Caenorhabditis elegans: one gene and its partners. The protein of the gene in region 3 purifies or fractionates together with the protein of the main gene of each other region. This does not show direct contact. Each region holds a gene or a part of one and is shown on either strand. Other genes may lie near its edges. The genes, in order: ccm-2, hip-1, kri-1 and icap-1.

What was found.
Region 1: the proteins of kri-1 (region 3) and ccm-2 purify together in Caenorhabditis elegans (affinity purification with mass spectrometry, with the first as the bait; one study listed by BioGRID). This does not show direct contact.
Region 2: the proteins of kri-1 (region 3) and hip-1 purify together in Caenorhabditis elegans (affinity purification with mass spectrometry, with the first as the bait; one study listed by BioGRID). This does not show direct contact.
Region 4: the proteins of kri-1 (region 3) and icap-1 purify together in Caenorhabditis elegans (affinity purification with mass spectrometry, with the first as the bait; one study listed by BioGRID). This does not show direct contact.

Annotation. Positions count from the first base shown.
Region 1 is NC_003282.8:1,830,564-1,838,745, forward strand, and holds the start of ccm-2 (CCM (Cerebral Cavernous Malformation) gene homolog), read left to right. Parts: upstream 1-4,064; 5' UTR 4,065-4,067; coding exon 4,068-4,100; intron 4,101-4,440; coding exon 4,441-4,527; intron 4,528-4,577; coding exon 4,578-4,679; intron 4,680-5,409; coding exon 5,410-5,559; intron 5,560-5,741; coding exon 5,742-5,820; intron 5,821-7,407; exon of another isoform or gene 7,408-7,462; intron 7,463-8,182. Other genes in the region: cmk-1 (Calcium/calmodulin-dependent protein kinase type 1), read left to right, coding at 1-50, 1,352-1,508, 1,601-1,866, 2,303-2,406, 2,456-2,625, 2,911-3,036.
Region 2 is NC_003281.10:13,617,247-13,625,205, reverse strand, and holds the start of hip-1 (STI1 domain-containing protein), read left to right. Parts: upstream 1-2,979; 5' UTR 2,980-2,982; coding exon 2,983-3,086; intron 3,087-3,134; coding exon 3,135-3,500; intron 3,501-3,543; coding exon 3,544-3,757; intron 3,758-3,761; exon of another isoform or gene 3,762-3,921; coding exon of another isoform or gene 3,922-4,052; intron 4,053-4,224; coding exon of another isoform or gene 4,225-7,057; intron 7,058-7,106; coding exon of another isoform or gene 7,107-7,229; intron 7,230-7,274; coding exon of another isoform or gene 7,275-7,582; intron 7,583-7,642; coding exon of another isoform or gene 7,643-7,741; intron 7,742-7,784; coding exon of another isoform or gene 7,785-7,842; exon of another isoform or gene 7,843-7,959. Other genes in the region: taf-9 (Transcription initiation factor TFIID subunit 9), read right to left, coding at 440-723, 779-922; mlc-5 (Myosin-2 essential light chain), read right to left, coding at 1,242-1,348, 1,464-1,570, 1,621-1,757, 1,806-1,883; T12D8.9 (Protein PFC0760c-like), read right to left, coding at 3,922-4,052, 4,225-7,057, 7,107-7,229, 7,275-7,582, 7,643-7,741, 7,785-7,842.
Region 3 is NC_003279.8:8,236,324-8,244,730, reverse strand, and holds the start of kri-1 (FERM domain-containing protein), read left to right. Parts: upstream 1-4,093; 5' UTR 4,094-4,098; coding exon 4,099-4,154; intron 4,155-4,206; coding exon 4,207-4,288; intron 4,289-4,339; coding exon 4,340-4,479; intron 4,480-4,890; coding exon 4,891-5,268; intron 5,269-5,363; coding exon 5,364-5,529; intron 5,530-5,576; coding exon 5,577-5,710; intron 5,711-5,894; coding exon 5,895-6,024; intron 6,025-6,463; coding exon 6,464-6,670; intron 6,671-6,720; coding exon 6,721-6,871; intron 6,872-6,916; coding exon 6,917-7,074; intron 7,075-7,228; exon of another isoform or gene 7,229-7,426; coding exon of another isoform or gene 7,427-7,534; intron 7,535-7,619; coding exon of another isoform or gene 7,620-7,688; intron 7,689-7,837; coding exon of another isoform or gene 7,838-7,920; intron 7,921-8,079; coding exon of another isoform or gene 8,080-8,183; intron 8,184-8,407. Other genes in the region: col-63 (Nematode cuticle collagen N-terminal domain-containing protein), read left to right, coding at 1-977; nsph-2 (Nematode Specific Peptide family), read right to left, coding at 1,225-1,728, 2,025-2,211, 2,260-2,591; T02E1.8 (uncharacterized protein), read right to left, coding at 7,427-7,534, 7,620-7,688, 7,838-7,920, 8,080-8,183.
Region 4 is NC_003282.8:13,783,300-13,790,208, reverse strand, and holds icap-1 (Integrin Cytoplasmic domain-Associated Protein homolog), read left to right. Parts: upstream 1-3,374; 5' UTR 3,375-3,380; coding exon 3,381-3,425; intron 3,426-3,485; coding exon 3,486-3,611; intron 3,612-3,972; coding exon 3,973-4,094; intron 4,095-4,188; coding exon 4,189-4,294; intron 4,295-4,343; coding exon 4,344-4,418; 3' UTR 4,419-4,466; downstream 4,467-6,909. Other genes in the region: Y45F10D.7 (Small-subunit processome Utp21 domain-containing protein), read right to left, coding at 84-234, 294-782, 828-991, 1,039-1,101; sas-6 (Spindle assembly abnormal protein 6), read left to right, coding at 1,500-1,582, 1,628-1,978, 2,032-2,932, 3,063-3,206; iscu-1 (NIF system FeS cluster assembly NifU N-terminal domain-containing protein), read right to left, coding at 5,598-5,665, 5,720-5,903, 5,967-6,086, 6,145-6,234; lact-9 (Beta-lactamase-related domain-containing protein), read left to right, coding at 4,564-4,713, 5,154-5,366, 5,414-5,524.

The DNA of each region.
Region 1 (8,182 bases), on a different chromosome or scaffold from region 3:
CTGAAGGGAAAAGAAGAATCACTGGAAAACGAGATTAAAGTTCTGAGGAAGTGAGTTGATTTTTGATTTTTGCCTACGCCTACCTTACAACAGTGCCTTTAGGGCTTGAGGTAGGCACCTGAAGACCTGCCTATTTTTAATGTCAAAAGCAAAAAGAAAACCTTTCGTCTTTCGAGTTTTCTTCAAATTTCGCTCACTTTTCCCCGGTGATTAATTTTCTTCACATATTCTGCCACAATATATAAATCAAACGCCCTTGGAAGCTGTGCGAAATCTAAATTTAGTTGCTCGCCGAGCAGCAGCCGTGGTCTATTTACGCTCTGAGGGTATTCACTTTCAAGTCAAAATAATGATGTCATCTTTTTTCTCATGAGGAATTTCAATTTTGTTACATTGAAGGATGATGATTAGGAAAAAAAATCGACGAACAAACCTATAGACACCTGTAAGATGTGAGGGTCTGGGGTAGGGCCTCCTAGGATCTGGGGTAGGGCTGCCTAGGATCTGGGGTAGGCCTGCCTAGGATCTGGGGTAGGCCTGCCTAGGATCTGGGGTAGGCCTAGGATCTGGGGTAGGCCTAGGATCTGGGGTAGGCCTAGGATCTGGGGTAGGCCTAGGATCTGGGGTAGGCCTGTCTAGGATCTGGGGTAGGCCTGTCTAGGATCTGGGGTAGGCCTAGGATCTGGGGTAGGCCTAGGATCTGGGGTAGGCCTAGGATCTGGGGTAGGCCTAGGATCTGGGGTAGGCCTAGGATCTGGGGTAGGCCTAGGATCTGGGGTAGGGCTACCTAGGATCTGGAGTAGGCCTGCCTAGGATCTGGGTTAGACCTGCCTGAGATCTGGGGTAGGCCTGCCTAGGATCTGGGGTAGGCCTGCCCAGGATCTGGGGTAGGCCTGCCTAGGATCTGGGGTAGGCCTAGGATCTGGGGTAGGCCTAGGATCTGGGGTAGGGCTACCTAGGATCTGGAGTAGGCCTGCCTAGGATCTGGGTTAGGCCTGCCTGAGATCTGGGGTAGGCCTGCCTAGGATCTGGGGTAGGCCTGCCCAGGATCTAGGGTAGGCCTGCCTAGGATCTGGGGTAGGCCTAGGATCTGGGGTAGGCCTGCCTAGGATCTGGGGTAGGGCTGCCTAGGGTAGGCTAGGGTCTGGGGTAGGGCTGTCTAGGGTAGGCTAGAGTCTGGGATAGATAGATGGATAGATAGATAGATAGATAGAGACGAGATAGAGACGAATTTGATCAAGTTAGACAAAAGTTGGGTCTCACCACGAAAACTACTGTACCCCCTTTTTAATTTGAGCAAACCATGTGTGACTATAAACGAATTCAAACTGGAAAAATTTGAAATTTTCAGGCTCCGACACAACAATATTGTTCAACTATTCGATACATACGACGAGAAGCAGTTTGTGTATCTTGTGATGGAGCTGGTCACCGGTGGAGAGCTTTTCGATAGAATTGTTGCAAAAGGGTCCTACACGGAACAGGACGCGTCGAATCTTATTAGACAGGTGAGATTTTCAGTTGAAGAGATCAAAAAGTTGTGAATTAGAAAATTGTAGAAAAATATATGGTGTAAATCTGGCAAAGTTTTTATTTTCAGGTATTGGAAGCAGTCGGGTTTATGCACGACAACGGAGTCGTCCATCGTGACCTGAAACCTGAAAACCTTTTATATTACAACCAAGACGAGGACTCCAAAATAATGATCTCAGATTTTGGACTTTCAAAAACCGAAGATTCAGGAGTAATGGCTACAGCGTGTGGAACACCGGGATACGTGGCACCAGAGGTCCTACAGCAGAAACCGTATGGAAAAGCAGTCGATGTTTGGTCGATTGGAGTTATAGCGTATATTTTGCTTTGCGGGTGAGTTAATTTTGGGGGTATACCTGGGAGATGTCGGCTGCTGGCACATCAAATGATTAGGAAAAACCACTGGCACCCGTTAGGTGTTGGATGCTAATAACCCTGGAGGTGTCGGCTGCTCGACTTAACGAGATATGAAGCAGACGACAACCCGGCAGGTGTCGGCTGCAGACGCTTCTAGAGATCACAAGGCGCCGGACATCATGAGAGCTTATAGCAGCCGACACCTGCCGGGTAAACGTCAAATTCACGGTATTTGCGGAGGTTATAGGGAAATTCAAATTTTTTAAGAGAACATTTCTAATTTCCAACCCAGAAAGTGCGCGCCAATGACAAAATTGCCGAAAATTTGAAGATTTTCCTTAAAATTTTGAAGTTTTTGAATAAATTTTAATAGATTTTCAAATAATGAAGCGAAAACTTTTAATTGTTTCAGATATCCACCATTCTACGACGAGAGCGATGCAAACCTATTCGCACAGATCATCAAAGGAGAATACGAGTTCGACGCGCCCTACTGGGATCAGATTTCCGATTCGGGTAGGTCAAAATTGTCAATTTTCCCGCCAAAAAACCTGAAAATTTGCAGCTAAAGATTTTATCACACACTTAATGTGTTGTGACCCAGAAGCCCGATTCACGTGTCAGGATGCTCTGTCACATCCGTGGATCAGTGGAAATACGGCGTACACACACGATATTCACGGAACTGTCGCCGTACATCTTAAGAAGAGTTTGGCAAAACGGAACTGGAAAAAGGTAATTTTCGATGTTTTATATTTGAAAAATTCGTTAATATTTTCAAAATTTTTAAAATTAATTTTCATTGTTCAATTTCCGAGAAAAATCAATAATTTTTTTTCGTTTTCCAAAAAATCGATATTTCTCATTTTCGTTAACAATTGAGTGGTGTTAGAGTGTCTCATTTAGGTTTGATCTATGTAGATCTACAAAAAATGCGGGAGAAGAGACGCAGAGCTCTCAACTGATTTCGTATGGATGTCCGATACTTGAGGAAAAAATCGATAATTTCAAATTTTGCAGGCTTACAACGCAGCCGCAGCAATCCGCCAGCTTCAAATGCTCCGTCTCTCCTCAAATAGCAATCGCCTACAGAAACAAGCTTCACAGCAGCAACCGGAGCCCCCTACACCCGCTTTTCACGCTTGATGATGTCCTTTTAATACAGTAATACGCTTTTGATCTACCCGACCCCCCAAAGTCTCAGAGTTTCCACAGAATTTGAACTCCCGAGAAATCAATCCGCGAAAAAAAGGGCGGACACACTTTTGCGGACGTGGCTTCGAATTTTCTTAGGCTCCGCCCATTTCTCCGGGTTTTCGTTTCCCCGGAAACTGTTTTCCTTGGCAACACTGGGACTCCCCGTCCACACACCCGCGCCGCGCAAACATGCTCCACTGTGATTTTTTTTTGAAATTGTTTTTTTCGTTCGCAACTCACCCCAACCCTCCCTTTTTACAATTCCTCAGTGTACATTCCTTTTTTCCAATTTTTTCAGCCACAGTACCCCCGCCCTTCCCCCATGTACCTTTAAAATGTAATATTTGTGATTTTGATCTCGTGAAACAAGAAAAACACTATAAAATGAATTGTTTTGTACTTGAGAGTTTGAATTTTCCCGGGAATTGTGGCGTGGTGGGTGCAAACGCGCTCCAGTGTACAGTTTTAAAAATTTAACATTTGTTCAAATTTTCAAAAAAAAAAGTCAGATTATGCACGAGCTCCATTGAAATTTTAAAATGTTTCAAACTAATTGTAAAACATAAAAAATCAGTGATAAAGTTGTTAAATTCAAATATATCGCCGACCACATGTTGCAAGCGTGCTCCAATGAAAAAACGCGTTTTTTCTTGATTTTAGTGAGAAAGCATATACAATTTTAGGAACTTTTCAATTTTTTTTTTCAGTAAAATTGACTGAAAGGGTGTGCCTAACCCAAAATTATCACTAACTGATAAAACTGATAAGGAAATTATCGATTTTCGGCACAAATTTTTGCCGGAAAAGTACGAGCGAAGTTTTTATTTGTTTACCCCCCGTCTAGCCTCCAATGTTTGTTTTATTTTCTACTTTTTTCTCTATTTCTCAGAAATATTTTGCACTATTTTCTTGTCAAAATTAAATTTGAAAAAGTTTTCAAAGTTTTTTTTTATTGAAAAATTTTCAAAAAATTTCAGAAAATGGACGCTTCAACTTCGGAATTTGCCACTGATGTAAGATTTTTTATCGGGTTCTTATAGATTTCTAAAAAAAAAAGTTTTAAATATGTAAGCAAATACATATAAATTCCTTTTAATTGAAATTTTCCTCACAATAATGTTTGGAAAATAATTGGAAAAAAAAAATATTTTCGAAATAAAAAAATGTGTTGCTTCAAATATTTATTACACTAAAATAATGAATTTTAAAAAATTATTGGAAAAAAATTCATAAAAAATCGATTTTTTCAGTTTTATTTTTTTCAATAAAATTTAAAGCTTCCCGTAATTTTTTTAAAACTTTTTCACACAAAAAAATTAAATCCACCGCTTAAACAATATCTCTATTTCTCAGTTTATTGGAATAATTTCAAACGAGAAATTTTCCGGATTGGATGATTTTGGACGAACGGATTTTTTGAGGATTTACGACAAGGCTAAGGTATAATTTTCAATCGACTTTCTAAAATTTCCTATACAAAATAATTTCAGAAGAATAAATCGATAAAATCGATAACCCGCCACGATGTGAATTTTCGCGCCTACATCCTTCAAGTTCTGCATGGCAAAATTGTGGTGGTCGACAGGAAATTGGTTCGTTTTTTTATAGGTTTTCTAGATCACTGAGAGCTTTGATATGAGTATAATCATGATCAGGTTACGGTAATTTGGAAATGTTTTGAGTCCCGCCACGAAAACTTTTGAGGGTACTGTAGCTTTTCGTGGTGGGACCCAATTTTTCTTTGAATTTGGGTGAAGAGAGCATGATCCAACTTAATTTATAGCTTATAACAGCAAAAAGTCAAATTTTGACAATGGAATTAAAATTTTAAAAAAAAATGGAAAAAAATAGGACCTTTTTTTTAAAAAATACATTTTTTTAGTTTTTTTTTTTCATTACTAAGTTACTGTAATTTTGAAATATATTTAGTTTCGCCACGAAACCCCCCGGGGTACTGTACCAATTCGTGGAGGGACCCACGTTTCTTGAAATTCAAGCAGTAAAGCCATATCAGGTTTGAGAAAACAAATGTTTTGTATTCTCGAAAAATTAATAAAACTCAATTTTTTCAGTTATACAATGTCAATAATTACCTTGGTTTTTTGAACATTCAACCTATGGTATTTGCACAGTTAGAAGAAATTTCAATTCAAAAAAAAAGAAAAAAAAAACAAACAAAAGTTCCGAGCCCACCGAACTTTAGAGCTTCATCTCTTTTTTTCCAAAAAATCGGAATTCAAAATTCTCAATTTGTATATTCAATTTTTACCGAATTTTCCGATTTCCCTAGTTAAAAGTACATGAAAATTCAAAAAATTCCAGAAAACCTGCTGCTTCGAGGTCTCAATTCCCCTGATCTTCTCCTGCGGCTCATTGACGGAAGATGGTCTTGTTCTGTTCACTTTCAATATTGCACCATATCAGGGAAATATAAATTATCGCGATTTGATGGTTTTGGCACTTCCTGATGAGGCAAGAAGTTTGTTTTAGATGCAAAAATTTTTCAAGAAGAATTAGTTCAAAGTCTGGTAGCTCCATGTCTGAAGCCCACGAGATGTCGGCTGCTCTGTTGAACTCTGAATTTGCCGGCTGCTTGTTTAGAAAAAAAAAATTTTCACTTTTAAAGTCTTATTCTATACAAATTATATTTCTAGAAAACGGCCGAAAAGCTATCAGAAGAGCTGAATTTTAATTTCGCACGCTTCGCCGAACAACAACTACAGACTGCGTCACGTAAGTTTTTGTTATTCTTTATTCTCTCTTCACTTTGAATTTTAAACTGAAACTTTATACTTTAATACTTTTTGTTTTAATCTGTGTTGGCTCAAATTTGTAGTCAATTTTTTTTAAAGTAAAGAACTACAGAAATATTGGAAATTTGTTACTCACTAAAATGCAATGCACAAAAATATTCAAATTTTGTTGACAAGTTTTGATAGCATTCCCAGTTTTTGAGATAGCAGCCGACATCTTGCGGGAACCGTAAAAACGACGCTATGTTATTTAAAACTGTTAGTATCTTCAAAATTAAATATTATATCAAAAAATGACCAACTAACAAAATAAAACACGCTCAAAATTTCCTACATTTTGTTTCTTAAAGGTTTTTTAATAGTTTTCCTTGTTTTTGAGATAGCGGCCGACATTCTGCGGGCGCCAAATTTGGCCATTCAAAATTTAAAATTATATCATCTTTAAAACTCTTTAAAACTATTGATGCTTTCAGAAAGTGAGCAATTATAATAATAAAGTGTACAAATTTGCCTACGTTTCCAGTTGGCAAATTTTTTCTACCTTTTCTAGTTTATGAGATAGCGGCCGACGTCTCACGGGCGCCGCCGACATTTTCTGCAAATTTAAATTGTAGCGTCCTATTTTCAAACAGAGCAATATTTCCCAAACTACCGGTGATTCCGAAAAGTGATCAACTGACAAATATACATACACAAAATTTCTTAAATTTTACCAGTTCAAAAGTTTTTGAAAGCTAATTAAGTTTCTGAGATACATACGTTCAAAGTTTGGCACTGGGAGCTGCTCTTGGAAAATATCATCTCTTGAAATTGATCTTCCGATTCCCGATTTCACTGATCATCAATTCCTTATCAGTTTACATGTTTCCTTGACCATTCATCTAACATCCCTAATCACTCCACTCCGTACACTATTTTTCCTGCCCAAGCCGAAGAGATTTTCTCGCGCGAAAGTGTGACTGCGGGCGAGAGATTTAGAGAAAAAACGCACACAAACTTCTTTTTCTCACTTTCTGTGTGTCTTTTGCAAATTTTACTCTTTCTCTCTCTCTCATGATTACTCCTTTTTAACTTTTCTGTTTGTGGTTGCGTTTTAGTTGAAAATTTTCAAAAATTTTAAAAATTAAAAAAAAACAGTTAAAAAAAACAAATTTATTGAGCAGATTCAAGCTGTATTTTTCTAAAACCAGTGAAACGTCGGCTGCTTTGTTTCAAAACTTATTAGATATTCTTAATTATAGCTATATTTTGAAGATTAAAATGTAAAGTTAAAATTTATACAAGTTCGAATTTTGATTTTGAAATTTTTTTAGTTTGACAAATTCTAAATTTTCCAAATTTTTCGTTAAAGACCCAATTTTATTTTCATTTATTGTAATGAATATTAATTTTAGCTTTTTAATTGTTAACTATTTTTAAAAATCAAGCAATTAAATGAGCAAGTTGCACCTTCCTTAAAAATTGCAGCCGACACTTCCCGGCTTCGCTCAGCCTAGAATTTTTTTACTCGCCCTGAAACTTGAATCCTGTATATCTCCTTAACTAAAAATGCTATTTTAGATATGCGAACTAACAAAATGTAGGAAGTTTAGTGAAAAATATTTTGTTAGTTTACTACTTTTATATAACTTCAATGGTTTTTGTGATAAATGAGTTTTTGTAAGCTTACTCTAGACCTCTTGCACCATCTGACAGGTGGTTCTTTGAAAACCAGTAAAATGCCGGCTGCTCGCGAAATCAACCAATTTCGAAAAATATTTCGAAATGGAAAATGTATCATATTATAAGCATGAAAACAAACTCTCTTTACGTTAAAAAAAAGGCTTGCAGCCGACATCTTGCGGATTCTAAAAGGGTAGTTCTTATTTTAAAACTGCAGTATCGCCAAATCTAGAAATGCTATTCAAAAATTTTAAAGAACAAATTGTAGGAAATTTTATGCCAAATATTTTTTCAGTTAGCAACTTCTTGCTATCTCTAATAGTTTTGGAGATAATTGAGTTTTTGTTTTTCAAATTAATTAAAATTGTATTCCAAACTTTGAACCTTCATATCTACAAAACTAAATGTGTAATCAAAAATTTATCAACAGACAAAATATAGGAAATTTTTTGCAAAATAATTTGTTAGTTGACAATTTTTCTCTAGCACTCGTAGTTTTTGAGATATTCCCTCTCTAGCTATGCACGTCCCTCCCTCTCCTCCGCCGCTGCCAACAATAACATGTTGTTTTTCATTTTTTATATATTTTCATCAGGCATCAAAAGTAAAAGAAAAATATATTCTGATTCAAAATGTTGTTTTAGTAGGTTGGTTGGGTGGCTGAGATGGCTAGTTTTCCA
Region 2 (7,959 bases), on a different chromosome or scaffold from region 3:
TCTGTAATTTTGTTTTCTAATGGGGTTATTCAAGTAGTGTCGGAAAATTAAAAAGTGTAGATTAATTACGTCACAACTGTATTCAAGTATATAAAAACATGTATTTAAATACATTTGTGACGTCACAAATGTATTTAAATACATTTTGCTACATTACTTGAATAACCCCATAAGCCTGAAAATGATTCACGTGAGAATTAAATTTGAATAATTCAATGTTTTGAATATTCATTTAAAAATGCGGTGTAAAAAAGGAAAAGTATCATAATTTTTTTAAAAGTTCTATTGTGAGTTTTTATTGTTATTTTGTCATTTTTGAACCATAGGAATGGTTTTTAATAGTTTCCCCACTGGTCGTACTCCACTTTAAAATACCTTCTTTCCGTTTAAAATCAAATTTTTACAGATTTTTCAAGATATATCGAGAAAAAAAACGTACGGCTGATAACTGTCGTCAGCTTTGTACACAAAATTCTGCTGTAATTGACAGAATCGATCGTTGGGCAGCTTCAGGCCATAATTGTGTCGAATTTGCGGTAGGGGCTGCTGATTTTTGTCATTCGCCAATTGCAGAATCTTCTCACGGTCCGGAGCGTTTGTGGTCAGAACGCCGAGCATGTCGGCCGCCGTTTGAACGTCTTCTGCCTCGATTTGCGCTTTTTCAGCATGCCTGGACAGTCCACTTGACATTTGGAGGATTTTTGACGTCACTGCGTATTGAACCTGGAAAAAATCATTATTTTTTGAATTTTTAGAGCTCAATTTTGTATTTTCTCACATCCATAAGCATTGAAACGACGCGTGGATCAAACTCTTGAATTCCACACTCGTGGAGCATGCTTATTACAGCAAGCGCCTCTTTACTGTGTCCATCGGTACCACTTGCCGTCGTTTCTGTGTCTTTTTCTCCTGTATCTGCCATTTTTCTTTCTGAAAATGCAATTATATGGATTTCCCCACAAAAATAACGGAGAGGAAATACAGAAATATCATGTGAGATGTAACACGAAATACAAAAATTATGAAATTAGAATTAAAATTTAGAAAAATTCATCTTAAAACACGGAGGATACAAAGTTGTTCACTGAATCGTTGCAAGTTTTTTTTGGTGAACTGGGAGAGAGCGAATAAGAAATAGAATTAACGGATGCAAAAAAGTCGATAAATAAATAGATTGTGTGGAAAATGCCGAGGAAATTAATGGAAATGATATATTTACATCAGCTGAATTCGATTATTTTTTAGGAGTTCATGACAGCGCGTACGAAATCCGAGATATTGACGTTTCCGTGAGAATCGTTGTGTCCGGAGAGCAATTGATCGACGTCTTCATCGGATAGGCGTTCTCCTTGAAAAAAAATTGATAAAATTGGGGTAAACTTTAAAATTGTATAGACCAGCAGAACATTTTTGAAAAGCTACTTATATATTAATTTTTTGATAATATTCACTCAAAATCCTACCAAGAGTGGTGAGCAAGTGTCGGAGCTCTGCGACATTGATCATTCCGTTTCCCTCCTTGTCGAAATGCGACAACCCCTCGACGAACTCCTCAACGGTGTGCTTTTCACTGAAATTATGTAGAAATTGAAATTTATTAACTGAAAATTCGCCACGAACCGATTCTTGGACACCGACTGGAAAATTGGGACAAAGTCCTCGAATGAAAGCCGAGCTTCCCGATCGAACGAGCCGACACATTTGTGAATTTCGGCTTCTGTTGGGTTCTGGCCGAGCGCGCGGAGCACATCACCGACCTGAAATATGAATTTTGGATTAAAAAAGTAAAATATTGAATTAAAAACCTGCTGAACAGAGATTCGCTCGTCGCCTTTGCTGTCAAAATAGGCGAAAACCTCACGACAATCAGCCAAATCGTCCATTTCTCACAGCTGAAATTGGAAAATTGAGAAGACGGGATGAAAACGAAAATCGATTATCAGTGAGTGAGAAGTTGGCGATAAAAGAGAGAATGAGTCACGGGGACGAAACAATTCGGGAGGAAAATGGGTGGGCGGTAGAAGATTTTCGAAGAGAGCTGAAAACATTTCATGCCTTCCAGAAATTCTCAAGCAAAAATTCAGCCTTTCTCGGCTATTTCCCGAGAAAAACGAGTTTCACAACACATTATTCACCGCACATGAACTGAAATGGCGATCGATTGGCGAGTTTATTTGAATAGTAGACACACACAGCAGAAGAGACGACCAAAACGGGCAGTTTCCCCGCGCGGCGGTGTCCTGACTGTCCGTTCAACCGCGTGAGAGTGTGTGGAGATGGTGGAGACGCGAGGAAGAACAACATCCCGAATTCTTGTTGTTCGGAACTTTTTCTCACCGATTCATCGACAAGATACCAATAGTTTGGAGGTTATCCGGCGGGAAAAAGAGGGTTAACAGAGGGCAATTAGAATTAAAATTCGAATTTTCGAGTTGCGGCATGAGCATAGAGCACAGAGAAGCAAAGAGCGCCCAAGTTGCCACGGAAACCATGCACATTACGTGCTGAATACAATTCCTGCGAAATTTTACAGAAAAATCTATTTTTCTGCAGAATTTCAAGGATAATTATCGATAAGCCAAAAAATTGATATAAAACAAAAAATTTTCGGGCGCCAATTTCAAATGCCATGGCGCAATGCACAACGGGCGCTAGATCCCACGCGCAAATGCACAGAATATGCCTGTTTTGAAATTTATTTTTCTCGAGAATTTCTAGAATTTTCGATAATTCAAAGGAGTTTTTTGGTTTAAAAGGCGTTATTCTAATTTTTTGATCTAAATTATCAGGTATTTATCTATTTTTCACTTTAAATCCCCTCTTTGCGTAGTCGGAACACCTCTGGCGGCATCACGTGCTGTTTGCAATATTGTTTACACTTCCAAACAAATTGAATAAACACTTCAATTCTCTATTTTTTGATTCTTAACCTATTCCTTTAAATGATTTAAAATAAACTCCAAAGCTTTTACCTTCCAGAAAATGGACCACGTCGCATTGCTCAAGCAATTCGTTGGCATGTGCCAAGCGAACCCGGCGGTTTTGCACGCCCCGGAATTTGGATTTTTTAAGGATTACCTTGTTTCGTAAGTTTTCTAGTACAAATTCAGCTCAAACATGTGCCACATTTTCAGCCTTGGAGCCACTCTTCCCCCAAAACCAGCTGACAAGCCAGAAGGAAAGTGCCCGATGTCTGAGGAGCCAAAGAAGGAAACTCCAGCCGCCGAGGCAACTCCAGAGCCAGAAATCCCGAAGCCGGAGGAGATTCCATTCCCGAAAATTGACAACGAGGGAGTCATCGAGCCAGAAGAGGCGGTGGCTTTGCCAATGGGAGACTCTGCCAAAGAAGCCACCGAGGATGAGATCGAAAAGGCCTCCGAGGAGAGAGGAAAAGCCCAAGAGGCGTTTTCCAACGGCGATTTCGACACAGCCCTCACTCACTTCACCGCCGCAATTGAGGCTAATCCAGGATCTGCAATGCTTCACGCCAAGAGAGCCAAGTGAGGATTTTCTTTTCAAAACCTGAATAATCGCATTTTTCAGCGTCCTTCTTAAGCTCAAACGTCCGGTCGCAGCGATTGCTGATTGTGACAAAGCGATCTCTATCAACCCAGACTCGGCACAAGGCTACAAATTCCGCGGTCGTGCCAATCGTCTTCTCGGCAAGTGGGTCGAGGCAAAGACCGACCTCGCCACAGCTTGCAAACTGGATTACGATGAAGCCGCCAACGAGTGGCTCAAGGAGGTCGAGCCGAATGTAAGAATTGCATTTGAAAATTTTATTTCAGAGAAAAAAGAAAGTCTAAACGTCATTATTGTCTGAATAGTTACAAGAATTGACGGGAAAATGACATATGACCGATAAAATGGCTCAGCCGGGTGTTACTAAACTAAAAAAAAAGGCACAGGGAAACAGGGAGATCAGTCGTCTTTCTTCACTTTGCGACACAACCGCTTGCCGTTGGGACCCATTGGTGCCTTCTTCTTTGGTGGAAGACCCATTGCTTCGCGACAAGACAAGTAGTAGATGTGACACTTTTTACCGCTTCCTTCTGAAATTTAAGAGGAGTTTGGAGGTTCATAGTAACGCAAATTCGGAAAAAAAATTGTATTCATTTCAATTTTAAAACTTTTTCGTGAAAAAGCTAGCTAAGAGTTGAAATGTTGATATTTTCTCAAGATTTGCCATCCTTTTTGTAGTATTTAAAAGCTAAAACGGCTTACCTCTCCTGGCCATTGTTCCAGAGTGATCTTGCTTTGCAGCCTTCGGTTCCACTGATGAATAGCACGACTTTCTGTACTTACACCAGCTTTTTTCCGCGGCTGACAAGGAGATATCCTTCACACCTTGCTCGATAGTCTCCTTATCAGTCTGCTCGTGGATCTTCGCATCTTCCTTTTTCTCTTCCTTGTTCTTCTGCTTCTCCTCTTTCTCCTCTTCATCATCATCCTCCTCATCCTCGGGCTCCTGATGCTTCTTCTTCCCGTGTTTGGAATGGTGGTGGTGGTGGCGTTCTGATTCTACAGGCTTCAGCTTCTCCTTGAGATGGCGTTCCTCATTGTCCTTTACATCATCATCCTTGTCAGTGATTCCTGCAGCTTCATAGCAAGACTTTCTGTATTTGCACTTTTGCATTTTTGCATTTTTCGAGCCAAGGGCAATAGTTTCAGTGAGAGTTGGAGCTTCACTCCACTGCTGGATGGTTGGAAGAACCCCGCTGTCGTAACAAGATCTTCGATATTTGCATTCCAAACGGCGATCGGCGGCCTTCAAGTTTATCTTTCTAACTTCATCGTCAACATCATCATCATTATCATCATCATCATCATCCTTCTCCTCAGAATCTGATGCCTCTGTTCTCTTCTGCTCCCTCTCCAAGATCTTTTCTCCAACCGGAATATCGTACTTTTCATAGCACGACGGACGATATTTACAGGAAAGCTTTCTATCGGCCATTGCAGCGTCCTTGTCCTCAATATCTGGAACCCCGTCGCCATCAGAGTCTTTGTGTTTTCCGTAGTTATGGTGGGTCTGAGATGGTGGCGCGGCCCAGAAGTGCACAATGTGCCAGATGGAGAAGTCGTATGGCTCGATGAGTCCTCGGTTGCCAGATTCATAACAAGTCTTGCGATATTTGCAGTGGAGACGGTGGTCTCGTTTTGGGTCGTGCTTGTTGTCAAACTCAGTACCTTCATCGTCGTCATTGTCATTTTCTTCTAAATCAGACTTTGGTTCCGGCTCCTCTTGCTTCTTAATGACCATTTTTACCGGAACAGGAACGGGTACTGGGGTCGGTTGTTCATATTCTTCTGGCTCTGGCTCCGGCTCCTTCACTTTCTTCAAGCTTCTTTTAGTTTTTTTGGCTGGCTCAGGTTCAGACTCTGACTCAGGCTCCTGCTCAGAAACTGACTCCTCGTTTTCTTCATCTTTAGACTCGGGCGCTGGATCAGGAACAGCCACCTTCACTTTTTTCAAGCTTCTTTTCGACTTTTTTACAGGCTCTGGTTCTTCTTCTGGTTCAGGCTCAGGTTCCTTCACCCTTTTTGAGTTTTTCTTGTTACTATTTTTCTCGGGTTCTGGTTCTGATTCTGACTCATCATCATTATCATCAACGTCTTGCTGAGCCACTGCTTCTACGATCTTCTGCTCGATCACGTCTTCCACTGCAGCTTTCATCGCCTTCTTCTTTCCGTGTAGCTTCACAGATTTTGGTGCTGGTGCATCTTTCCGATGTTCCCGGGCATCAGCAATGTCTTGAAGCTCCTTCTGCGTCTTCTCGACCTTGTCGTACTTACTCGCCGAGCCTGATGTCATTCCGTACCGACTCATCATCGCATGACGCTTGTGAAGTCTTCGGTGACGTCTTGTTCTTCGTTTTCTCACCTCCTTCTCTATCATCCGTCTTTTCCTGATGGTTTGCACAATATCAACACTAGCAGATTCGCTAATCTCCTCATAGCAAGATTTGCGATATTTGCACAGTGTCTTAAGATCGCGAACGGTTGATGGAACCACCGAGCTGACCTCCTTCTTAATGACTTTCTCGATGTGTTCGTCATCACTGCTGAGATCCGGAATGATTCCAGTTTTATAGCAAGACTTTCTGTACTTGCACCGTTCCTGAAGTGTCAACTTCCGTGTTTCCACTTTATCCGGCATCTCGAGAATGTCCCGGAATGACTCGAAAGCTAGTTCGCTCTCGATTTCTGGTCTTTCTCCGGTTTCGTAGCAAGATTTTCTATATTTACAGTGGTGTTTTTTCTCCAAGTCATTCATATCCTCGAATGGTTTCTGTTCTTTCTCGTCATCATCATCATCATCATCATCATCATCATTATCAGACCCCTTTGACAGAAATGGGATCGAGAAGCTTGTGAAAGCCGATTCTTCGATTTCTGGAAGCTGTCCAGTCTCGTAGCACGACTTGCGATACTTGCAGTCCAGCTTCTTCTGCAGTTGATTCTCAATTTCTTGGAGTTTCTTTTCCACTATCAAGGATTTCGGGACGGGACGAGCCTTCGCCTCCTCCTCCCTCTCCTTTACCCCGCTGACAGCCTTCTTTGCGATATCCTTCAACGTTCGTTTTTTTCCCTGCGGAACTTGAAGCTTGGCGCTCATGAAACTTCTCTCTCGCTCCTGAAGCTTGTCACTCAACGGTATGTTGTGATCCTTGTAGCATGATGTTCGATATTTGCACACAAACTTGCGATCTGCAAGGGTGACATCATCATCTTCAGAGTCTGGAACACCATCCTGATCTGCGTCTTCAGTTATTGGAAGATGATGCTGTTGGGTTGCTGGAGCTCTCCAAAAATGGAAAATATGATCGAAGGAAATGTCGAATGGCTCTATGAGCCCTCGTTTCCCAGACTCATAGCATGATTTGCGGTATTTGCAGTGGAGGCGATGATCTCGCTTTGGGTCATGTCTATTATCAAATTCATTTCCGTCTTCATCATCATCATCGTCGTCGTTGTCATGCTTCTTCCTTCTCTCGACGGTTCTCATGGACTCCTCGACAATATCCTGAATCTCGTCCTCCAGCTCCTCTTCCACCTAAAATTGAGTTTCTTTGACAAATTCTAGTTTTATGAAGGGAGCAAACCTTTTTCCTATCAACTCGGTGCTTGGTGGCGCTGGCATAAAAGAAGGAAGTTATTTTTGGAACGACGGGTTTCTGGATTAAGATTAGCTCTGTTGAAATTTCAAACGGAATCTCCTGGCTTTTCTGAAATGTTAAAGACTTTTACCATCGAATGTATCTTTCGCCCACCTTATTGCAAAAATACACTTTGTTTTGTGTAGTGGACGCAATTTCTGATGTTGCCCAGCAATCGGCCAGCTCTTGCCATGGTTTTTGGTTATTTCTGCCGAATTCCACTACGAACAATGATCTTTCAGTTCTAAGAATGGCCTTCAGGTTTTCATCATGCTCTTTTGCGGAATCACTGACAAAAACCACCGTAGAAACATTGTTTTTCAAAGAGACACTGTCGATTTCATAGACTTTTGAGTTACTCAGCATGGAATCTTGATAAGCCTCGTTGAAGATAACAATGTTCGAGTTGAAGAAGCTATTGTCTGAATAATATTGAATTTTACGGTTTTTTCTCTGAACTTGCGCTCTATCCATTAACTCACTTTCCACGACATCTTCTGGCACGAAATCAAGCAGAACATTGAATTTCGCTAAGTTGTTCCACGATGGTCCGGTGATCAGAACTGTGGGGCCGGCTGAAACTAGATTTTTGAATTTACTGTCTGGAAAATTTACGAAACTCACCCCATGAGGTGCTCAAAAAGAGCAAAAGTATAAAAATGGGATAATAATAGGTTGGCATCTAGTTGGGATTGCACATTTGTATTGGATTTAGATCAAATAGAAATGAGCCCCGAGCCTGATGGGTAGAGATTTCGGAAGTGGGGAGTAAATAGAGAATTTATCGAATTGAAAAAGT
Region 3 (8,407 bases):
CTACAATGGTTCCACGTGAAGATGCTGTTCAACCATTCGAGACCTTCCTTAAAAGATTCAGAAGAGGATATGGAGATGCTGGAGTTGCTGGATCTGCATCCGGTTCTTCTGGTTGCAATTGTGGACCACAACCAAAGGATTGTCCAGCTGGACCACCAGGACCACCAGGAAATCCTGGAACCCCAGGAGATGATGGACCAGCTGGAAGAGCTGGAAATCCAGGAAGTGACTCAACTGAAGGGGATCGTATGGCTGACTTCAATAAGGATGTGAAGTGCCCAGCTGGACCACCAGGACCACCAGGACCAAATGGATTCCCAGGACATCCAGGACCAGATGGAGATTTTGGAGTTGATGGAACAAATGGAAAAGATGGAGAACCAGGACCAGATGGACCAGAAGGAGATGAAGGAACTCCAGGACTTCCAGGACCACCAGGAGAGGACGGACCAGTTGGACAGAACGGAACTCGTGGACAAGGACAACCAGGACCAGTTGGTGCACCAGGAGCTCCAGGAGGACCAGGAAGAGATGGAGAACCAGGAGAGAATGGACAAGATGGACAACAAGGACCAGAAGGGCCAGCTGGAGCTGATGGACAACCAGGACATCCAGGACCAGACGGACCATCAGGGGATGTTGGAGAGGTTGGAGCTCCAGGAGCTGATGCTGCCTATTGTCCATGTCCACCAAGATCCGCTGAGATGGCTGCAACTGGATCATCCGACTCCCAACCAGCGTCTTATGAAGCTCCAGCTCCAGCAGCAACAAAGGGATATGATTCTCCAGCTCCAGCAGCACCAAAGGGATATGATGCTCCAGCTCCAACTGCTCCACATCCACCACCACCAGCTCCAGTTGCTCCACCAAAGCTTCACGATTATGAATCGCCAGCTCCAGTTGCTGATGCTCATGATGCTGCTCCAGCTGCCCAGCCATATAAGAGAAGAAAGGTGGCCAGAGCTCATATGGTTTAATTTATGGAATTTTTATAAATGTCAAGAATTTATTTTTACATTAATAAATTATTTATTGCAGTTTTCCAAGCATATTAGCACAATTTCTGAAATCTGGATTGGTTGTAGATATTTCTAGTCAAATGCTGCAGAATGTGGCTACTCTAAGAAAGTATCGTCTTTTCTAGCAAAACATTGCAGTAAATTCATATTCAATTTTATTCAAAACGGAAATATCAGAGATTCCAGCTGTAATTCTTCTCTATCCCTAAGCCAAACGTCTCTTGAACAAGACTTTAAGCTTGGCCACAGCCGCACCAGTCATAATCTTCTCTTTTCCACCATAACCAGCAGATGCCTTCTCAATAGTCAAATCCAAATTTCCGAGAACTTCCAGACCCTTATCATCTTTCAAAATACATGGAGCCGAGTTGCCGATGTGTACAGTAGTCCATCCACTAGATTTTCCCTCAGAAAGAGGCATCCATTTGTATTCCAATCCCATACAAGAAGCCTCCGGGACTGTCAGCAACTGCATTGAACCAACTTCTGGACCAGCATTCTCTTGATTATTCTTTCCAAAATGAGCCATGGTCTTTCCGGCAGAACTAGGATATGAACGTCCAAAAACTGGGTCTCCGTGTTTGTACCAAAGCGCCACATATTGCATATGTGGTCCCGTCTCCGTATTGAGAGCACGACCATCAGCTGGAACAGCGTTGGATGGGAAGTTGTCACCGTAGCGAAGATCGTACCAGAGATCATCATAAACCTGAAAAAGAATATGCATTGATAGTCATAGCTAGGTGTCCGCCTACGTACCTACTCTACGTGCCTACTTTACGTGCCTACTATTACGGCTGCCTACTTGCCTGTCTAGAGGTTAAATCAGATTAAATCTCATTTTGGCATTCTTATTTCTGCGACTAATCCACCACGTGCATGCTTCCTTTTACTCATGATTTCTTCATGTATGCCTACGTGCCTACGTCATGCTTACTACGCCGATGCCGGATCATCCGGTTCGGTCTGGTTTTCCACCCTGCACTGGTTAAAGTTTAAGCTCACCTTGAGACCAGTTGGTGGAGGTCTAAGATTACGGAAGATTGTCATGAAATTGGCAGTAGCACCGCCTTCGTATTTCTCGGTGGTCCCAGCGTTGGAGAACAAAGCAACTTCGGTATTCAAATCCAGAAAACCAAGCTTATCAGTTCCATCCTTCAGTTTAGCTAAGACTGGAACCGAGTTTCCACATCTACAATTGTTGAAATAACGAGTTTTCCTAGAAGATTTTGAAGGTTACCTGACAATTTCACGAATACCCTCATTATTCTCATGACGTTGTTTCAACGGGAGCCATTCATACCAATATCCAAGAGAATTGTAGTCTCCCTTGTACTGAAGAATTTGAATCTGTCCACCCAAATCCAGTTTTCCTTTCAACTCCGCTTTGTTGTATGGGAACGAACATTCGACAACCCCGTCATTGTTCCAAGCACGTCCATGAATTGGTTTTCCATGTTTATACCACAATGCCACGTATTGGTTGTTCTGGTTTGGAACACGAACAGGAGCTTCAGGAAATGGTGATCCGATTGGTTGGAATGCCCAAGAGTCTTCTTTTGCAACTGGCATCTTGGATGTTCGGGAATAAATTTTTATGAAGAGTGAACTTTCCAAAAAGTTTATCATCTAATGAAATCTTAGGTTCACGTTTAAAAAAATATCATACAATATTCAATAGTGCTTGTCAAGGATAAATTAATTTTAATAATCAATACATTTTTTGTTGAGAAAATTCGCAGCTTCAAAGTACCAAACACAAGTATTTAAATGATTTTTAGATTTCAAACTGGTTGGGTCAAGCTAGCAACCCGTTAAATTACTTACTGATGACATTTCACTGCAGAATGTTGAGTGACGAATTTACAATTTCAACAGGTTAACTTTTTATCTGAAATATTCTCAACTAATTTTTTGACTGCTTTCAGAGGTCCTAAAATTGTTCCAAAATCCATTGTTGCAGACTTTTGATGATTCAAACGGCGTGAAACATTCATCTTTTGTAGAAGACAAAGTTTTGAAAGTAGTTTTTCAGACCTTCCCCAACATCATGAAATCATTTTCATCTTTAAACTTTAGATTGGCGCCAGTTATTCGGCAGATTTTGGGCAAAGTATCAAAGTTATTTCTCATCAGCACACACTAACAAATTCGGAGAAACCACAAATTTCAACGCGTTATCTTATCGTGAATGTCATCTACTGATTTTATATTTAGGGTGGGTCGGGCGTTGTTAGGATGTTTATACAGTTTTTTGTGGGAAAATAAAAAATAATATGTATTGGAATGGTTACAACAAAATTTGCGTTGTTGAAACTCTGAAAATCAAGATTTCGAGTTTAATAAACTATTACCTGATTATTATAATTTGTAAATACCCTTTTTCTGAAAAAAGATACATTTTTTAGTTTTGAAAAATAACTCGTCACCAAGAGATACGTACTGCATGCTTTTCCACTTCAACCGATCATAAAACATATTGATAAAACAGCCAGATAAGTGTGTCAAGAGCTTAGCTAACATAAATCGCCGCCAAACCAATCAATGCACATTTTGTTACTCGACCGCCTTGTCTCTATGCCTCTTGCTCTCTTTTTCACTCTCTTTTCATCTTTTTTGGGGAGTTTAGGGTGTGGCAACTGATAACTGATTACCTGGACAGTTTTTAGATTCCTCTTGCTTCTTGTCAACTCTTTTATAGCAATATTTTTCCGGAGGTTATTGACTTTTTGTGAAGAATGTTGTAGGCAAAACTGTAGTTTAATCTATGAAATTTGAAATTTGTTTAAAATTTAATTGGTTGTTTATGTGTTTTTCTAACGAGTTTTCTGATTAGTTTGAGTTGATGTTTTTTTAAATTAAATGTTTTAAAATCTTTCCGGTTCTTATGAAATTTCAAATTAGGTTGTTAAAAATTGTATTCTTCATTGGCTTCCCAAATTTTAGTTTACTATGTTAGCCCAAGTTTTTGAATGTAAAGTCTTTTAAAAACTATATGCTTTTCACAATTTTCTCTTTATTTTTTATTTTTTCATTGGTTTCAGTTCAAAACACACACTAAAAATAATTTTCAGAGAAAATGGCGGAAGTATCTGTGGCAATCGTACGTCTTAAAATAAGTGCGTTGTCCGATAAGTAAGTGGGTCGTTGATGTTTCATGAATTGTATGGGAATCTTTAATTTTCAGAGCTATTCCATCAGCTCAGGATTTTGAAATTTGTGTCAAAGAAGAGCCATCTACAGCAAAAAATTTTGGACCAGTAAAACATGTAATTGGAAGAGAAAAACAAACTATGAAATATTTTTTTCTATTTTTGCAGGATTATAATATAAAAAAGAGAGTTACCGTCGGCGGACATACAATTGGAGCCGATGTTTTCAAGCTCCCAAATTTCTCTTTTGAACCATCGAAAGTGAGCACATTAGAAGATATGATTCATGATTATTTTAAGAGAACTGGGTAAGATTTTTAAAAACTATGAAACCAATTAATTTTTATGATTTTTCGTACAATTAATATTCTGTTTTTTAAAGTTCTAAAATTCCAACAAAAAAGAGAACTCGGCAATTGGTGCCAATTTCTTATCCAAATGGCCCAATAAAAAATGTTTGTTTTCAAGTTATTCCCAAGCTTGAACCAAATCTTGCCTTTCCCTTATCCAAATTTTGGTTAAATATTGGAAAAATTTAGATCAAACTGGGAAAAAACCTAAGTGGCTTGAACAATACCCAAGTCTATATTTTTGGGTTCAATTTTTCCAAAATACTGGCACCAAGTCAAAATCACAAAAAAAAAAAGATTTTCGAAATCTACTCAATTCTTCAACTTACCTGACAAATATTTCTGCATAAAAATTTTATAATTTTTCAGAAACATAATTCGCCGATCTGTACGTATTCCATTACACGATGATCTGCATCAACCATCATCTTCAACAAAACCATTTGTTGGACATGTTCCTGGACTTTCACTTGTATGTGTTCCAGTATTTAATAAGGAATCAGTTGAAGTCGCAAATTCTCGTTATGAAAATCTACAAAAAATGGTGAATCTGTGTCACAATCAGCCAGAAATGTTTGATATTCATACAAAAAATATGATTCTGATATTGGAACGATGGTTGATTGACTCACAAACTTTCGATTCTTACTTCTTATCACATTTCTTTATGAAAGAATCTTCGAGAACAAGAATCAAGACATGTGTGCATAATCCAGCTTTTATTGATCTTCAGGAACAATGTATTAGGTAGGTTCTTGTAATTTTTTTTTCAGAGTTTCTACTTTAGTTTAGAATAATCAGGAGAAATTTTGTTCCAAACTCATACACCTAAAATGTTTCAGACACATGTCTCATAGTGTCCGTAGCAATGTATCATCGGCATCCGCTGATTTAGATGATCGTGTCCACGTGGCAAATATTGCCAAAATTGCCATGTTACGGTACAACAAGTTCACGATAAGTGTAATAAATCCTGCATTCAATCCAAATTTCGCTAGTGAAGATTCGGTGGGTTTTTTTTTGGTTGTGTTATTGAAATAATGAAAAATATTCAGTCATGTGTATATTTCTATCCCGGAATTAAACAATGTAGGGCACAAAGAGCTGCATCAAGTACATCACAAGATATGAGAAGTCGACTATATCCGTTGCATAAAGCTGCAGAAGATGGAAATGCTGAGGAGATACGGTGAGGTTTAACGTTATAGATAAAAGATTTACATTATCTGTAAATATTCTTCAAATTTAAAGGAAATAGGCCGGGGTTTTACAATGAAAACTTTTTTTTCAATCCTGAAACCTAAAGGTATTTTTTCGCGCCTCAATGAATTCGAAATAGCCTACGAAACCAAATAATAATTTGAAACTTTTAGGAGGTTCCTGAAAATTGGTATGGACAGTAATCTACGAGACGATGACAGTTGGACCCCATTACATTATGCCTGTTTTCATGGACACTTGGAAGTTGTTCACGAACTATTGAATTCGCCACAAATGACTGCCGTGAGACTTTTTTCTATTCGAAATAGCAGCATATTTCATTTAATAAGATACATATTTGAAGTCAAATCTTGAGTTTCAAAACAAAACCTACCATATTTTTCTATTAGCATCGCAGGTACTCCGTTTTGAAAACTTATATCTAGGTTCCTTCTACAGATATAGAAAGTTATAAATTGCAATACTAAAGAAGAAAAACAAACATTTTGTCAGTTAGCAATTATTCTATAAAACAAAAACAATCGAATTACGAGTTTCCAAAACTTAGCAATGATGTGCAATACTACTTGAGGAATTACGGAATGTCAAACGACAGAATACCTTTGAATTTTAACGCTAGAGACACGTTCAAAATAAAATCTGGAAATTTTGTTCACGTCTGTTGCCAAATGTTTTTGAGGTGACAATTTTAAATGTCTCATTCAAAACTTTTAAACCTCAGATAAATGCTCAAAACAAAGGAGGAGCAACAGCTTTACAGTATGCAGTTATAAATGGAAATGAATACTTGGTTGAAATTCTGACATCTCATGCTTCAATTGATGTTAATATTCAAAATAATGAAGGCTACCGACCTATTGATTATTGTGGAAATCATCCGGCAATTCAAAAGATTCTCGAATTGCAAATCTTCAAATCTAAAATCAATGTGAGATTGTTCTATCTGTAAGCCAAATATTCTACTCAATTTGATTTTAGGTGGATACATCTATTGGATCATTCAGTATAAAATCTCGATCTCCAGAAGAGGCAACGGTAGGAGAAGTATTGGATAGATTGGCAGAAGAAACACAACTGAATAGAGAACAAATGAACTGTTTTGCCCTTTTTGTGTATTCAGAGTCAATGTGTAAGTTTATAATTTCAGTATTTTATGAATTTCTTAATATTTCAGCACTTCAACTTCAACCAGACTCCCTAATAGATGGCAAATTAAAAGTTGATAAGTGGAATACTACAATACGGAAGCTCGTTGGAGATATTCCATTTGAAACACCAAGGCTTAAGCTAAAAAGAAATGCCTATGCTACTGCAAGAATGGAAATTGTTACGGTGAGCATTGAGGCTGTAATTTTTATAAATATCTTCGACATTAAAAAGAGAAATCAGAGAAGTTACTATTCTGACCAACACTACTAATATTAGTTATAGACCACTTCTGAAATTGAAGTTTTACAACCTGAAGACTTCGAATGCCAAAATACAAAATTCATGAAAATTGTTTTATTAAATTACAAAAGTCATTTTGGATTTTAAATATTCAAAATTTATGGGATGAGCAAGATTTGGTGGGGAAAAGTATAGCAAATTGAACCGGTTGAATTGGGATTTTCGAAAAAAAACACCGTAAAATTGGTATTGGATAGGAATTATGTCTAATTAAATCTAAAACAACGGAAATTAGTTAATGAAAAATTGCGTATAAAACTGCAAAAACGACTGGGAAGATTATTCCTCCACGAAGATTCGATGAGTTCACACATTCTCCAATAGGGCATGATGTTGAGCAAACCTGGAAGTTCATAACTTCTAAAATACTGTAAAGTTATTCTAGTCTTATTAATAACTCTATTAGTAAAAGCGAAAAAAAACCAAACCTCAACAAACGATGCAACAGATTCCTTGCGATCATGAGAATCGTCTCTGCTGAGTAAATGTCGGCGGACCTAAATGCATTGATCAATTTTCGAACGAATGATACTCCTGTTTCAAATTTGCTAATAGATTTGAAATCTCGATAGTGGGAGTTTGACACTTTCAAAATAGAAAAATTTAACATTTGGTCGAATTTTGATTTCTCTTTTTAACAACCTACCTTTCGGCTAATTTTCGAGTTGTACAAAGTGCATCCCGTCACATCAGATTCCATTCCACAATGCCGTTTCGTCACAATTTTCTCTGCAAAAACATATAAACAATATGGGACAATATATGGAGGGATAAACAGTATGGTCGGGACCATCCTCTAATTAGCTGTGAGAGAAAATGTAATGTCGGTATTATTATAATTAGGTTTGGTGGCGGGAAAGTGAGACCAGAGGAAAAAAGCGCAATTACCAGAACTTCCTCCTGTTCGGTACCAGTTGACAATACAATGTGTGTGTGTCGCATTTGTGCATGGGCTTGGAGCTAAAAGACCTTGACGGCATGCCTCGATTCTTCTGAAATCTTGGATTTTCAGAAATTCCTGATAGATGTACAATTCAAGAAAAAACTCATAATCTACTGAAAATTTGAAATGCAGCACTAAAAAATCGAAAAAAAAACAACAAAATTAAGCATTTTTTCAAAATAGTGGTTTTCCAAATTTGAATCTTCCTGGTCAAATTAACTCAAAAAATACTGCAATATCAAAGTTAAACCTATCAAACGAGGTATGCTTCGA
Region 4 (6,909 bases), on a different chromosome or scaffold from region 3:
TGATATTCGGTCATTGTGACCCCATAGGCGTGTTTTGAAGCAATTTTCCCACTGGGCGCACTCCACCTTTAACAGGAAATTACCATGATAGGCTCCCCTGGAACAAAATAGAGACAATTAATCTCGTCAGAGTGAATTCCCGTGATTTTTCCGATTAATTCCTGCTTCTCGAGATCCCACACAGCCATTGTTCCGTTCTTATCGGCAGTTACCATTGTTGATTCGCCGTCGTCACTGAAAATATTGGAAATAATTTTTTTAAATAATATTTTTCAATTTAAAACACAACCCACCGAAAAGCGACATTAGTGATCTTTGCGTCATGTCGGAACGATGTGATGATCTTATCCATTTTCACATTGAAAAGCATCACTTCACCATTTTCCAGCCCTACAACTACCACATCTAAGGCAGTAGTTTGCTCGATAATTGTGATTCTCGAGTCGAAACTTCGCTGGAACTCATGAATCACTTTTCCAGTTCGGAAATTGATAATTTTCATTCGACCAGTGCTACTGCCGACCACGATTTTATTCAAATACGTGGATGGGTGACAGATTGCCGTTATTTCAAAATCGTCGGATCCTTCCATCAATAGGCTCATTTGAAGGCCTCCTTCTGATGTATCAATGACGTGGATTCCAGAAGAAATATCAACTGCGATCAGCTGAGTTCCGATTAATGTCATGATTTTGATCTTGGCGCCCAAGTCGATGGAATCTTTGATATCTCTGCAGAATGCTAGAGAAGTAATGTTGGTTCCGTGAGCAGCGAACACGCTCCTGAAATGATATATAATTATTTTTGCATTTTTCTAAACCGCTTACGTGCTAGAAGACGCGACTGCTGACACTTTATCGCTTAAAGGTTCCGACATTCCAATCGCACGAAGCTTTTTTCCATTGTATTGCATGATTACATTATCAATTGGGCACAAAACTGACAATGCCGACTTTTTTGCGACAAATGTTGAACGAATTGACGGGGCGACCTGGAAAAAATAAGTAATTTCACTTCAGATTCGGAAAAAAAGCTTACATCACCGGTTACCACACCCAAGAATCGATAAGGAGCAAAGAGCTCCGACTGGATGCGCTTCATTTGCTGGAAAAGCTGAAAAAGCTGAAAAATGAGATAAATTGTTAAAAAACGGGATAAGTGGCTCACACAAGAAAAAAACGACGTAGGATTGTAGAAATGATTGAAAATGCGGGAAACTCTCTATTTTCCCTTATTAAATCTTCAAAAATGTGAAAATTTGACGGAAAATGGGCTGAAATGGGGAATTTTAGTTTGTGAAAAAAAAAAGAAAATGCGATTTTTTGTTAGGCGTAGTTTACAATGTTTTGTCCGCAATTGCCAAGTCCGCAATCGCACACCGTAGTCCCATAGAGCGCGCCATCTCAAATTTATTGTTTTTGCGCAAATTTTTTATTCTTCATTTTCTGCTGTTTTTTCCTATTTTTAACATAATTTTTTTCAGATTTTCTCCCACAAAAATGACTAGCAAAATTGCATTATTCGATCAAACACTCATCGCCTCACTTCTACAGCCGTTGAGCCTAAATCAACCGGATTTTAAGTAAGAAAAGGGAGCAAACGATTTTCAAAAGTAACAGAATTTCAGGGCATACAAAACAAAAGTTAAGCTGAAAATATCAGAGCAAAGGAACGAAACCAGTGGAGAAAAGGAGCTAAAATTCGAAATCAGCCGCTCCGATGATTTTGAATTTCTATTCTCGGAAACGTTGAACAACGAGAAATATCAGATTTTGGCTCGAGATCACGATTTAACAGTGGATTTCGATGCTTTTCCGAAAGTTATCATTCAACACTTGTTATGTAAAAATATTGTGAAAAATTTGGAAGAAGATGGGGAGGTTGATGCACGGAAAAAAGCAGGTTATCATAGTATTGCTGATCCAGGAAAGCCGACGGAAATCAATATTATTTTGGATGCCGAGAAGAATTTTTGCTCGTAAGGGAAATAGATTACCTAATATTGAAATTTAATTTTTTATTTTCTTCCAGATTTGAGCTATTCTCGAAGACTCCTATTTCGAAAGGAAAAATCTTTTCCATCAAGCTTCACGCAGTCCGCGGAGATCATTTAATTTCACATCTTCTGAAAATTTGTTCCAGTCAAGCAGTGAAACTCTCCACTTTTTATAAATCTGCAGATGAGCTAGCAAGCCTACGGCAGAAATGTGGAGATTTGGAAAAACAAGTTGAAAAACTGTCTGGTGTGAAGGAGGAATTCGAAGAAATGTCAGAAAAGTTTAAAGAGCTGGAAGATGAGGTGGAGCTGGTGAAAGAGGAAAGAGAGAATATTCGATTATTAGTTGAGGATAAAGAAGATGAAGTGGCTGATTTGAAACAAGACACGGAGTCGCTGCAAAAGCAATTGGAAGAAAATCAGGAGGAGCTGGAGATTGTTGGAAATATGTTGAGAGAAGAACAAGGAAAAGTGGATCAGCTTCAGAAACGAAATGTGGCTCATCAGAAAGAAATTGGGAAGCTTCGAGCAGAACTTGGCACGGCTCAACGGAACCTGGAGAAGGCCGATCAGCTGTTGAAGCGAAACTCCCAACAACAGAATCAACAAAGTCTGGATATGAGAAAACTAGGAGAGCTGGAAGCTGATTTGAAGGAAAAAGATTCGATGGTTGAGAGTCTCACTGAAACTATTGGAATCTTGAGGAAGGAGCTGGAGAACGAGAAATTAAAGGCCGCCGAGAATATGGATAGTTTTGAGAAGCTGAGCATGGAGAATGAGAATCTTAAAGAAAAAATTGCCCATTACCGAGCCCAACGGTTTAGTCCAGCTCCTTCTGGGCTTCCCGGGCTTCAGACCGGACTAACAAATAGGCTTACACCATCATTCAAGCCTGTTCTTGGACCCCACACTCCATATGGAGCTAATTTGAACTCGGTTAGTAGAAGTTCTACGAAATGAGCTACATTATCGATTTTTCCGGCAATTTCCAATTTTCACACAATTTTTGAGCATTTTTCCGAACTGTTTCAACTCAAAAAAATATTTTAATTTGTTCAAATTTCAGCGCACCCCATTCCGTGACAATACAACTCTTAATTTCCAAAATTCGACAATTGCAACTCCTCATGCTTTTCGTTTCAACAGTCAACTAATCGCCGACGAGACTACTGGTTCAAGTGTGACGAACACCCCACCCGCTCAACGATAAAATCTTTTTTATTGATTTTTTCTTGTCCTTTACTTGAAAATAAAACTCTGCTTATTTCATTGAGATTTCTAGGCCACCGCCAGCACTTCAAATGGGGAAGGTTTTTATCAGTTGGGAGTCCTCCGCAAACATTATGACGCCAGAAACTCGCTTGAACATTTTTCAAAAAAAAAAATGACAGACCCGAAAATTTCAGCATTATACGTGGCAGTTCAAGAGGTAAGGAATTTTTTAAAGTTTACTAGGTTTTCTTCAGAAAAAAAACATTTAATTTTCCAGATAAATTCTCTAATTCAAAATGGAACGTCTTGCAGTCGATCTCTCGAGGAAAAAATTGTTGAGCACTTGGAAAATAGCCAACTTTTAGGGAAATTACCGAAAAACAACGGGGATTCTCATGAGGAGGTTGGGAATATTACACAAACGCAGAATTTTTGTCGGTCTCGACACGACACAGTTATTTGCAAAGGGTTGTGTGCCTTTAAAGAGTAAATACTGTAACGTGTAATTCTTGTTGTTGTATCGATTTTCTTTTTGTTTTGTTTTTCGATAAAAAAATATATTTTACAAGAAAACAGTTATTAATCGTTGGAAAATCAGTGAAAACTCACAAAGTTTCAAATTACAGTAGTCTTTAAAGGCGCACACCATTTTTTTTATAGTTAACAAAAATTTGTCGCGATGAGACCCAAAACCGTAATTTTGGTGTAAAATCGCAGAAGATCCCGTTTTTTGTTGAAATATAATTAAAACTTTGAATTTTAAGGTTTACATGGAGGTCACCAAGCACGGACTTCGGATTTCTTCGAGAAGAACACGATTAGTGAAACTGAGGATTCCACTGATCGAGCTGATACTTTTGACGACGTATGCCGATGGATTTGGAAGGTGCGATTGGTTAATTATGAATTAGATGAAAATCACCAAGAAAAAATTCCGTTCGCTTCGAGACCTGAGACCGTAATTTTAATAACAATTTCAGAACCAACATAGTCTTCGTCGAAAAAAGCACAACTACACGATACCAACTCCATCTTCTTCAGGCCACTGACGACGCTTCTTCTAATATTTTGTGTAATTTAGTGAAGGTTTTGGGATGTTTCATAGTTTTCGTAATAGTCATTTATTTTATTTCAGAACGCTTTCATCGAAGCCGAGGAAGCCAGTGCTCTCATCGAAGTAATTGAGCCGCCATCTCCGTCGATTGCTTAATTTTTTCTTTTTTTTTGCTTGTTACATAAAATAAAAATTTAATTTTTCAAGTTATTTTTTGCCACCTAGAACCATTTGTTGCTTCATCTTTGGAATATTTGTCACTAGCTCGCAGAGCTTGGAAAAATTAAAAAAAATTTCCAGCATGTCATGGTACACTTCCTGTCCAAAGATGCTTCTTGGTGCCACCGCTGTTGCTGTTCCATTGGGAGCCACAGTTTTCCGGAGGGAAAGCGAAAAATCTGAAAATTTGCTGAAAATCAAAAAAGCCAAGGAGCTAGTGGAGACGACGATGGTTGGTTGGGAACTCGAAATTTTGCGATTTTTGTACCAAAAATACGGTGCCGGGTCTCGACGCGACACTTTGTTTAATGCGAAAGGGTGTGCGCCTTTAAAAGAGTACTGTCACTTTTGAAATTCTCGTTTCCGTGGAATTTTTCTCACGATTTTTTAAAATATAGGTGTTTTTCCTGTTTTTTACTAAATAATTATATTTTTATCGGAAAAACCCCGATTTTTTCTGTAAAAAACAGTAAGAACACTCATATTTTGACAAATCGTGAAAAATCCATTGAAATTCCACAGAAATGAGAATTTGAAATTACAGTATTCTTTAAAGGCGCACACCTTCTCATATTTAACAAAAATTTGTCGTGTCGAGACCAGGTAATTGCGGAAAAATCTCTAAATTCCAAGTCTGTGTAATAACTTTCTCCAATTCGACATTATTTTCAGGCTATTCAAGGTATTCCAGGCCTTTCGATTGCAGTTTCGCTGGATGGAAAAATGGTTTGGAAAAGTGGATTTGGGTATGCAAATCTCGAAAGTTTTGCAAAATGTACAGGAGATTCTGTGATGCGAATTGCGAGCATCAGTAAGCCGATAACTGCCACGTTGGCAGCACAGTGCGTTGAAAATGGAACATTAGATCTTGATGAGGATATTCGGGTTTGCAACTTAAAACGGAAGGGAAAATCTGAAATTAATTTTTTCAGAAATATCTTCCTGAATTCCCGGCGAAAAAGTTCAAAAACGAAGACGTCAAAATCACAATGAGACAGCTTCTGTCGCATTCCGCTGGAATTCGTCATTATGCAACTGAAAAGGTGACAAAAAAGCTCTTTTATATATAGCGATTTCTATAACGAAAACAAATTGTCTATTACACATTCTTCAGGCTTAGGCCTTCTTAGTCTGCTTCTTCTGATAATCCTTCAAAGCGGCTTGAATGGCGTCTTGGGCGAGCACTGAAACATTTTTAGTTGCGAAAAAAATCGAGAAAAATAGGGAAAAAAGCTCACTTGAACAGTGAAGTTTGACTGGTGGAAGACACAATTCTTTGGCAATTTCGTCATTTTTAATTTTCGACGCGTAATCGATAGTTTTTCCGTTAATCCATTCGGTTGCCAGGGAAGATGAGGCAATTGCACTTCCACATCCGAATGTTTTGAATTTGGCTTCGATGATTTTTCCGTTATCGTCGACCTGGAAATGTTTTTAGCTTTAAAATATAATAATTTTTTCCCCGGAAAATGTGAAAAAACTCACTCGAATCTGCAATTTCATGACATCTCCACAAGCTGGAGCGCCGACGATTCCTGTTCCGACGCTTGGATCGTTCTTGTCAAGTGATCCGACATTTCGCGGGTTCTCGTAGTGATCGATAACCTGAAAATAATGTGTAATTTATTGATTTTTTAACGCCTGAAAATGATTTAAAACCTACCTTCTCGTGATACTGAGCAACTGAAGTTGCCGCTGGCAACGCAAACTTGTGCAGGAGTGTTTTCGCGGCTGAACTGATTTGAAGCGACATTTCTGTGATTTGTCTGGAATTAATTTATTATATTTAAAAAATAAAATTAATATAAAAGTAGAAATACGTTAAATCATGGATTTTTAGCAACGAAAGGCAATATTTTTGTGCATAAAAATAGGGAATTCCAGAAAAAAACATTTAGAATTAAAGCAGAGATCACTTTTCTCGGCGATAACAAAAAGAAGAATGGAGAAGTAGTGGGCGCACACAAGACACCATCACATGTTCATGGCCGAGAAGTTTTTCGGCCAAGGCCAAGGTTTTTGATGCTTTAGCTGGCGAGTTTAGCAGAGAACACTGATAAATAAATAAAAATCGATGGAAAACTTAGAAAAAATCAATAGAAACAGTTGTTTGATGAGAAAATTATATTAATTACTAGTTTTTAGATTATTTTCTATACAAAACCCAATAAAAAAATCCTTGAATTCGCGCAAAACATTAAAAATTCATAAAAATAATAATAAAAATTAGAAAAAAAAAACAAAAAACATACTGTAGTAAAGGCGCACAGTATTTTGAACCCTAGCGGGTCTCGAAGCGAATTTGAGCATTTGTGCTTTTTCACCAATGTGCCTTTAGAAAGTACGGTAACTTTCATTGAATTTTAATATTTTGGAATTCATTTCAAATTCCTTAACCACATACTATTAAAAAATAAGTATTTTTTTC